Xenopus tropicalis: one gene and its partner. The protein of the gene in region 1 binds, or shares a complex with, the protein of each later gene. Links are inferred from orthologs where the notes say so. Each region holds a gene or a part of one and is shown in the gene's direction. Other genes may lie near its edges. The genes, in order: amfr and ube2g2.

The links.
Region 2: the proteins of amfr (region 1) and ube2g2 are in contact, whole or in part, in an NMR structure (PDB 2LXP), measured with the Homo sapiens proteins. The link is inferred for Xenopus tropicalis from reciprocal best matches to the Homo sapiens genes AMFR and UBE2G2. Residues at the interface, in NP_001135.3 of Homo sapiens: Ser574, Ala575, Arg578, Gln579, Met581, Leu582, Arg585, Lys586, Leu589, Leu590, Ala593, Arg594, Arg596, Phe597, Leu598, Lys600; in NP_003334.2 of Homo sapiens: Tyr13, Leu16, Thr17, Pro20, Gly23, Ile24, Val25, Ala26, Gly27, Pro28, Met29, Asn30, Glu31, Glu38, Leu40, Met42, Glu45, Glu50, Phe51, Val53, Val159, Gln160, Leu163, Gly164, Leu165.

Annotation. Positions count from the first base shown.
Region 1 is NC_030680.2:51,701,023-51,704,844, reverse strand, and holds part of amfr (E3 ubiquitin-protein ligase AMFR), read left to right. Parts: intron 1-265; coding exon 266-456; intron 457-538; coding exon 539-642; intron 643-1,317; coding exon 1,318-1,452; intron 1,453-1,558; coding exon 1,559-1,633; intron 1,634-2,030; coding exon 2,031-2,215; intron 2,216-2,984; coding exon 2,985-3,141; 3' UTR 3,142-3,822. UniProt on the Homo sapiens protein: E3 ubiquitin-protein ligase that mediates the polyubiquitination of lysine and cysteine residues on target proteins, such as CD3D, CYP3A4, CFTR, INSIG1, SOAT2/ACAT2 and APOB for proteasomal degradation.
Region 2 is NC_030685.2:55,076,678-55,081,172, reverse strand, and holds the start of ube2g2 (ubiquitin-conjugating enzyme E2 G2), read left to right. Parts: upstream 1-1,679; 5' UTR 1,680-1,710; coding exon 1,711-1,753; intron 1,754-4,495. UniProt on the Homo sapiens protein: Accepts ubiquitin from the E1 complex and catalyzes its covalent attachment to other proteins. In vitro catalyzes 'Lys-48'-linked polyubiquitination. Involved in endoplasmic reticulum-associated degradation (ERAD).

The DNA of each region.
Region 1 (3,822 bases):
TTACTGTATATGTAGTGTATACAGTTGTGAACGTGCACTGTTATTTTACAGTGGACCAGAGCTGGTGTAATCAGTAAGGCAGAGGAGAATTTCCTGAATAAAGAGCAGAGTGAAATGTGCCTCTTTTTAAAGAGTACTACTAAATGTGGGGTTAAAAAAGATCTTTAAATAAGATTTTCTTGCTGGCAGAACCAAATAAACCACAGCAGAAGTGTGAGGCAGAATTTTAAAACTGACTGTGTATCCTACTTACTTTTTGTCTTAGCTCATGCCTCCGATCCTGGCTGGAGCAGGACACGTCATGCCCAACTTGCAGGATGTCCCTTAACATGGCTGATGGCACAAGAACTCGTGTAGAACAGCAGAGGGAAAATCAAGATCAGAATGCGGTACCACTGGCAGTTACAGAAGGACGGCCACGTCTCAACCATCATAATCACTTTTTCCATTTTGATGGTAAGAAGTAGCCTGATTTTAAGGTAGACAGAAATCGGTGGGAGTTGATTGAATTTAAGCCTATATCTTGATTTTTCTTTAGGTTCTCGATTTGCTAGTTGGTTGCCTAGCTTCTCAGTGGAAGTAATGCATACAACCAACATCCTTGGCCTTGCACAAGCAAGCAACTCTCAGCTGAATGCTATGGTAAGTAGTTGACAGTGACTAGCTCCTGTAAGGTTACTAATGTACCATATAATTAATCAGAGCATTAAAGGAGAAGGAAAGGCATTTTGGCATTTTATTGTCAATAGATTAGTCACAATAGTGCAAGCAAGAATGCTAAATTTCTTCTTTAGAATAAATACCTGAGTAAACAGCCATTTTAGCTTGGTCTCAGTAGCATTTGTGCTGCAGCTCTGTATGCTGGTAGCTCAGATAACACATCACAGTTAGGAGGGGGATAGAGAGATGATAGGAGGGGAGGAGATGAAGGGATAGAGGAGCAAACTGAGCTGGCTTGTGCCATGCCCTCAAGGATTATTCTGAGAGAAGGAAGTCCGACACATAAGATCATGTATACAGGATAAAAAAAAGATCTGGTAGTTTTTTTTTCCGCTGAGCAGCAATTCTGTAAGTGTGTATGGCCATATTTACATAGACCTTTCTGATAAAGCTTACTTCATTTTTACCCTTCCTTCTCCTTTAACAGTATTGGTCATTACATTTTAGTGTGGTTGATGTTGACTATAACATAAACTTACTGCACATATAGCTGTTTGTTACAGTGTTATAAAAATGATAATTCTACTTTTTTTTTTTTTTTGCTTGTGATCTGTAATATCAATGTACTGGATATCTGTCTTACATCTACTTCTTTAGGCCCGGCAGGTTCTAGATATGTTCCCACAAGTTCCGTATCATTTGGTTTTGCAAGATCTGCAGCTTACGCGTTCTGTTGAAATTACCACTGATAATATATTGGAAGGACGTATTCAAGTTCCTTTTCCCACACAGGTTAGGCAACAGTAGTTACTGTCTTTGAAATTACATTGAAAGTGATTACCTTTAATTAAATCAACCTAATCCCACATTTTAAAATAGTTTATATTTTCTCCTGCAGCACCAAGACGATGTCAGATCTGCAACAGAAACATCTGAAGTCAGTGCACAAGAAGAAAGCAGTACTGCCACACAGGTAAGTAAGTTAGATGGCTAAAAGGGACTTGGCACAAAGTCCAGGTCATATATTTTAGAGATGGAAATGCTCCCTTCTTTATGGGACCGCTATGCCACCCATGTACATAAAAAAGGTGGTGTCATGGTCTTCAACATCTATATGTCTCTATATGTATACGTCTCCTTTTTAAAATGTTGGAAAGGTAACAATTCTTTGTATAATGAACATTTTAATGTTCCCCTGTATTTTTAACTGAGATGTGATTATGTCATCGGAACAACCATTCAATGTCCAAAGTATAAAAAAATTACTTTACCATGCAAAAAGCAATGTTGTGTGCTCTGTCCATGTTTTTTTCAATATTGTCAGAACAACAAAGAACATCAATGCCTCTGTTATTTTACATCTTACACAGACTGAGCGTGTAAATTTGGATTTGAGCCCAGGTCTTGAGGAATATGAGGATTTCAGCGTAATCGAGGCTCAAGTGAGTGATGTCGAAGAATTTGAGGCCAGAGGCAGCAGATTCTCCAAATCTGCAGAAGAGAGGCAACGGATGCTTGTCCAGAGGAAAGAAGATATGGTTCAACTTGCACGGAGGTAGGAGATATGAGTGAACTATTAATAAAGGGATCTTCAGTGAGTAAAATGATGTAGGATAAATACATTACAGGAAAGCAAGATTCAAGTCAAGCTGTTGTAATTATATATATATAATTAGTTAACTGACTTCAGTAAGGTGACTTTAAATCTCAGATGCTATTTTGCCTGTCACTACAACATCTTTTAAAAAGATTTCTACATCTTCACTCTTTTTACTATTTTTTTTTTTATTTTTAAGTTTTTCTATGCATAAAGCAGTCTGACCCTCACTGTTGAGAAATCTATCTTATGCCTCTTTAATCTTTTCTTCTCCAATTTAAATAATGGCAGTTTAGCCATCCTGTCTTTATAACACAGATGCTATGAGTGAGTTTTGGGCCTGCTGTGGATAAGGGAGAAATACCTCTCCTCTCAGTCTTTTAGTGATGGGTGATTTAAGCCTCGTGCTTTAAGACAGATAAGACTGAGATACCTGTTTGCATGCTTGAGATGTAAATGAAATGCCGGAAAATGGTAGATGTGCAATTAGTGGGAGTTAGGGAGTGAGCACAATTGGGGGTCACCAATGGGCTGCTGTAAAAAAAACCCTGTTTAGGTGAAAAGATGTGATCAGATTCTTCAGTTCAGGTCAATAATTGGGCAACTTTGATACTAACTTTGAAGATCTATATCATCAGGGCTGGTTATAGTATAAACACCATACTTCATTGTAGAGAGATATTTCAATGCTTTATAAGATAAACTAATATTTATGTTCTCCTCTTAGACGTTTTTTAAACAGGACTTCAGAGGAAGACAATCCTGACTGTTCATCAGAGAGGGGTTCACACACAGACAGTTCTTCAGATTCAACGACTGTGCGGAGGCGCATGCTGGCTGCAGCGGCAGAAAGAAGAATTCAGATGCAACAGTCCCCACAGTAATCCCAGTGTGCATGGACACAACCTAACCTTGAGCCTTGTACAATGGATGCACACATTGACACTTTCTTACTTTGCTCCTTGTTCATGAGCTGTACCAGCTCACAGAGAGAATTTAATCTTTTATAATCTTATTTTTTTGCAATATGTTTAGAATAAGCAAAGCCATTTCTTGGTTCTAAAGGCAAGTTTGCGCATGTGATCCTGGATCATTCTAACTCTTCTCTGATTGGCATCCTAATGAGGAGGAACCGTCAGTATTTTAAGCAGAGTAGGTGCCAGAATATTAAAGTAACATAGGGTTTTTTTTTTTTTACAATGATATTGACTAACTAACATAAATGTTCAGAGAAATGGAACTGGATGAACAACATTAAATGATCTACACCAGGTAGTTGGAATCTGTTTATATTACTTTAATAGTTTTCAGATGTCAGATCAATTTTTATCAAATTTCTGTTGTCATAAAACAATTGCATGAATACTGTGTTGCTTTATCTAGAGTGCTTCAAGAAGGTTTGGTGATAATACTTATTTTTTAGATGTTATGCCAAATGAAAGTGATTTGGAAGCGTTAAACTGTTCTGTAAGATATTTAATGGGGATGTTCACTTACACAGCACTGTAGCTTAATAGGTATGGTCTGTACAACATCTGCAGACTGTAAAACAAAGTAAAATCTGG
Region 2 (4,495 bases), on another chromosome or scaffold:
CGCAACAGACCCCCCCAATCAAAATACTGACTTATTAGTACATTACTTATTTTTACTATATTTATGAACTATTACTGACTAGCTATTGGGTCCCACAGCAATATCATTACATTACTTTCAAAGAACTTACGTGACTTAGGGGCACATTTACTAATCCATGAATCCGAATTGGAAAAATTCGGATTGGAAACGAATATTTTGCGACTTTTTCGTATTTTTGCGATTTTTTCGTCGCTGTTGCGACTTTTTCGTAGCCGTTACGATTTGCTCGTATATTGTCGCGACTTTTTGTATTGAGCGCTCGTAAACGGCGGGCAAAACTTTCAGACTTTGCATGATTTTGGAAGTCTCCCATAGGACTCAATGGCACTCTGCAGCTCCAACCTGGCCCAAGGAAAGTCACCCATAGGGCTCAATGGCACTCTGCAGCTCCAATCTGGCCCAAGGAAAGTCTCCCATAGGGCTCAATGGCACTCTGCAGCTCCAACCCGGCCCAAGGAAAGTCTCCCATAGGGCTCAATGGCACTCTGCAGCTCCAACCCGGCCCAAGGAAAGTCTCCCATAGGGCTCAATGGCACTCTGCAGCTCCAACCCGGCCCAAGGAAAGTCTCCCATAGGGCTCAATGGCACTCTGCAGCTCCAACCTGGCCCAAGGAAAGTCTCCCATAGGACTCAATGGCACTCTGCAGCTCCAACCTGGCCCAAGGAAAGCCTCCCATAGGGCTCAATGGCACTCTGCAGCTCCAACCCGGCCCAAGGAAAGCCTCCCATAGGGCTCAATGGCACTCTGCAGCTCCAACCTGGCCCAAGGAAAGTCTCCCATAGGGCTCAATGGCACTCTGCAGCTCCAACCCGGCCCAAGGAAAGTCACGATACTGAAGCTTGAATGAATCTGAAACTTTCGTACTCTGCGCGACGGCTACGAAAAAGTCATAACGGCTACGAAAAAGTAGTGACAATTTACGAAAAAATCGCAAAATACCGATCATTACGAAAAAAATGCATTCGGACTCTTTTCGGACGTTCGTGGATTAGTAAATGTGCCCCTAAGTATAAACTCCACTGACCCCCAATTAAAATACTGAATTATTAGCACATTCATGATTTTTACAACTGTTATGAACTACTTATGACTAGTCATTGGGCCATAGCCTTATATAGCTTATGTAAAAACAGACGTAACTTCCATATCAAGCAAGCAATGACAGCCAGAGCAGGGGCAGGTAGGTGGGTAGGGGTTAAACCTATAGCAAACTTCACTGACCCACAATATACTAAATGACTTATTAGAACATTAATCAATGGAACGCTTTATACAAACTGCTTATTATAAAGAAACATCAGCTGTTTAAATTGGAAAAGTAGGAAAAAAGCTTCAGCAGATTTACTGCAAACCATTTATTGTGGGTAGTGGTAACATATCTAGTTTCACCATACATACACACATATCTAGTGTCACCATATGCTGCCACACCAGGACATCTAAATATGGTACTAACCCATTCTCCCTTTAAAATTCAAGGCACTCAAACCCCTAGAAGTGAAACTGTGTCCCTACATACAAAATGCCCGCACACGGCGCTTCTCCTGCGGTTTGTGCTTATTTATGCAACGAAGATGACGCCGCGTGTCACGTGTGCGTGACGTCACAGAGAGGCCAAACATCCGCTCGGAAGCAGCTGCTACTGTGGTGCTGGCCGCCTGTCAGTGATGGCCGGGACGGCGTTAAAACGCCTGATGGCTGAATATAAACGTAAGTGCACATGTTAGGGTGGTGAATGGTAAGGAATTATAGTAACACTTCAAGGTATTTTAGAAAGGATAAGGGCTTTCCTTCTGCTGTAGTAGGGACGTCGGTCACGTGATGTGCCCTGCTCAGCGCTTACGTGTTGCTGTACTTTGCGGTAGTTACAGCAGTAGGCCAATTTCCTAGCGCCGCCGCCGCCAGTGACGCTGTGCTTGGCGTATGTACAAAGACAGTGTTGGTGCAGAAGCAGCGCTATTATGTTGTGTATTAGTTACACTTCAGGGTCTTGGGGTTTCTGTAGATTCTCAGTTAATGTTGTTGCAGCTCAGTGTTCTTATTGATTTTTGCAGGGTTCCAATAATGTGTTCATATTTATCCTGACTATAGCTAGGGGGGATCGGCAACCTCATGTGTTTTGTATATCTGGGACCTACACCAAAAGGCAATGTGTACTTAGGGTTGGCACATTTTCTGAGAATAAAATACCAGCCTTCCTATAATTTTAGCTTGTTTCCTAATAGAACATTGGCATCAGGCATCATTTTTACATCTAGGCCGGTACAATAAGGGCCAGGTGGCAAACTTATGGGGCAGATTTATCAAAATGTGAGCTTAATACATAAAAACTCACCCGCATTCTATTCATTCCTATGGGATTTTTATAAGCAAAGTTATTTATCAAAGGGAGAAATTTAGAACTCACCAATAGATAAATATGCTTCTACAAATCCCATAGGAATGAATAGAACATCAGTGAGGTTTTATGTATTAAGATGGTTAGAATAATAGTTTTTCCAGAGGAGATAGGAGCGTGGCAACCAATCAGATCTTAGATTTTGATTTCTAACTTGTAGGTGACTGTTCAAATCAAATTGCTGATGGTGATATTTATCTCCAGTCTTAGTAAACATGCCCCTAAATCACAGTATATTTCGTAACAATGGAGGGATCAATATATTACAGTATAGTTTAGCTTTTCTCTATACAGTTTTGACCTGTTTCTGAGCACTTTTCGGTATATTTTACAGGCCCTGACCCAGTGGAGCTTACAGTTTTAAGTTCCTTTTCACAATCAGACACAGACATTATTGTCAGTTTTGTCAGAAGCCAATTAGGGTGAAGACACACAGAGCTACTTAGTAGCAGCTACTTGTCATGGCTACTAAATGTCAGAAAATACCCTGCCATAGACAATATTGAGAATTGCCTCTGCTAAAACACACATAGAGACAATTATCAGTAAATGATCAGCTTTGTCTATTTCTGTAGCTGTGACAAGTAGCTGCTACTATGGATGGGGAAAAAATTAGTAACGCGACAGTAAAATTCGCCACATGGCGCTTAATTTGACGGTGGCATCGTTTTCTATGATGCGCTTGTGTCGGCTTTTAACGTCATAGAAAGTGACGCCCCTTTAGCTGCTGCTAGTGACTCCATGGGGCAGATTTATCAAAACACGAGTTCGAATCTCGAAAGGGAAAAATTCGGATTGGAAACGAAAATTTCTGAAGATTGCAAATATCACGAAAATGCTTCCGAAAAAATCGTATTAGTCACGATAATATGGTATTGGTGATCCGAAAGTCACAAAATTTTCGTACCAAACGATTGTAAACAGCGGCAAAACCGATCCGATTTTTTCGCGCTAAAAATACGAAAAAGTCGCCGAAAATATGCTCATGAAAAAACAGTAAATGTGCCCCCATGTGTCCTCACCCTTACACTTTCAGAGTTCTCTTCTAAGCACTTTTGCAACTTAAAGGGGAACTCTGGCTTCCAAATCACAATTTGTTAAAGAGCCCCTAATATAAATCTTAAATAAACAAGGGACTTAATGATCCCAGAAGTAACAAACACATTAGAGGTTACACATGATAAAATAGCAATCTTTATTCACCAATACAGCCAACAAATATTAAAAAACCCTAACCTATAAAACAATTAACAAACGCCATTCATGGAAGGTTCCCTTCTTTCCCCCCTAAGCACACCTATAAGTAGGATTGTTAGGAACACCAGTATGTAATAACGTTGGATCAACGTTGGGGTATCAACTCTATCAAATTTATCAAAGTACGATTGTTTCCGAATACGAGTTTTCGTACTGTGTGTATTTTCTGCGTTTTTTGCTTCCAAAAACATGCACAGGAGGTTCAAAGTCAGAAAGGTTTTCCCGCCCTTAACGATCGATCGGATACAAACATTTTTGTGACATTTCCGATCATCAGAAATTATCGTATCTAATCCGAATTTTACCCATTTCGGGATTCGAACTCGTACATTGATGAATCTGCCCCTATGTTTCACAGATGCAAATGCATATCTCAAAAGTCCAGCTGGTGCACTCAGAAAATTTGGTTAGTGCACTCCTGTATGCCAAACATTTAAAGGTGAAGTCCGTGATAATATGCACTCTCAGTTGAAAAAAGTTCACAGTCAGCGAAAGATATGTATATGTATACAGATATCCTGTTCTCAAATAGAAAATAATTTTCTTAGAACATGTTACAAGGCGTAATACTTATCTATCACCTCACTTCACACAGGAGAGCATATCCAATAATGATATTAACAGACCAGGGTCAGAAACCCACAACGATCCGCATGCTTGAGTCCAGAACTGTTCTAAGAAAATGTTGTTCTGCTCATGAGAAAAGTCATCTGATCTCTTTCCTAAAGAAAGCAATATAAGAAAAGTTATGTTTTCCTTCTGAACATGATCTTCCCAACTGTGCAGTTGGAAACCTT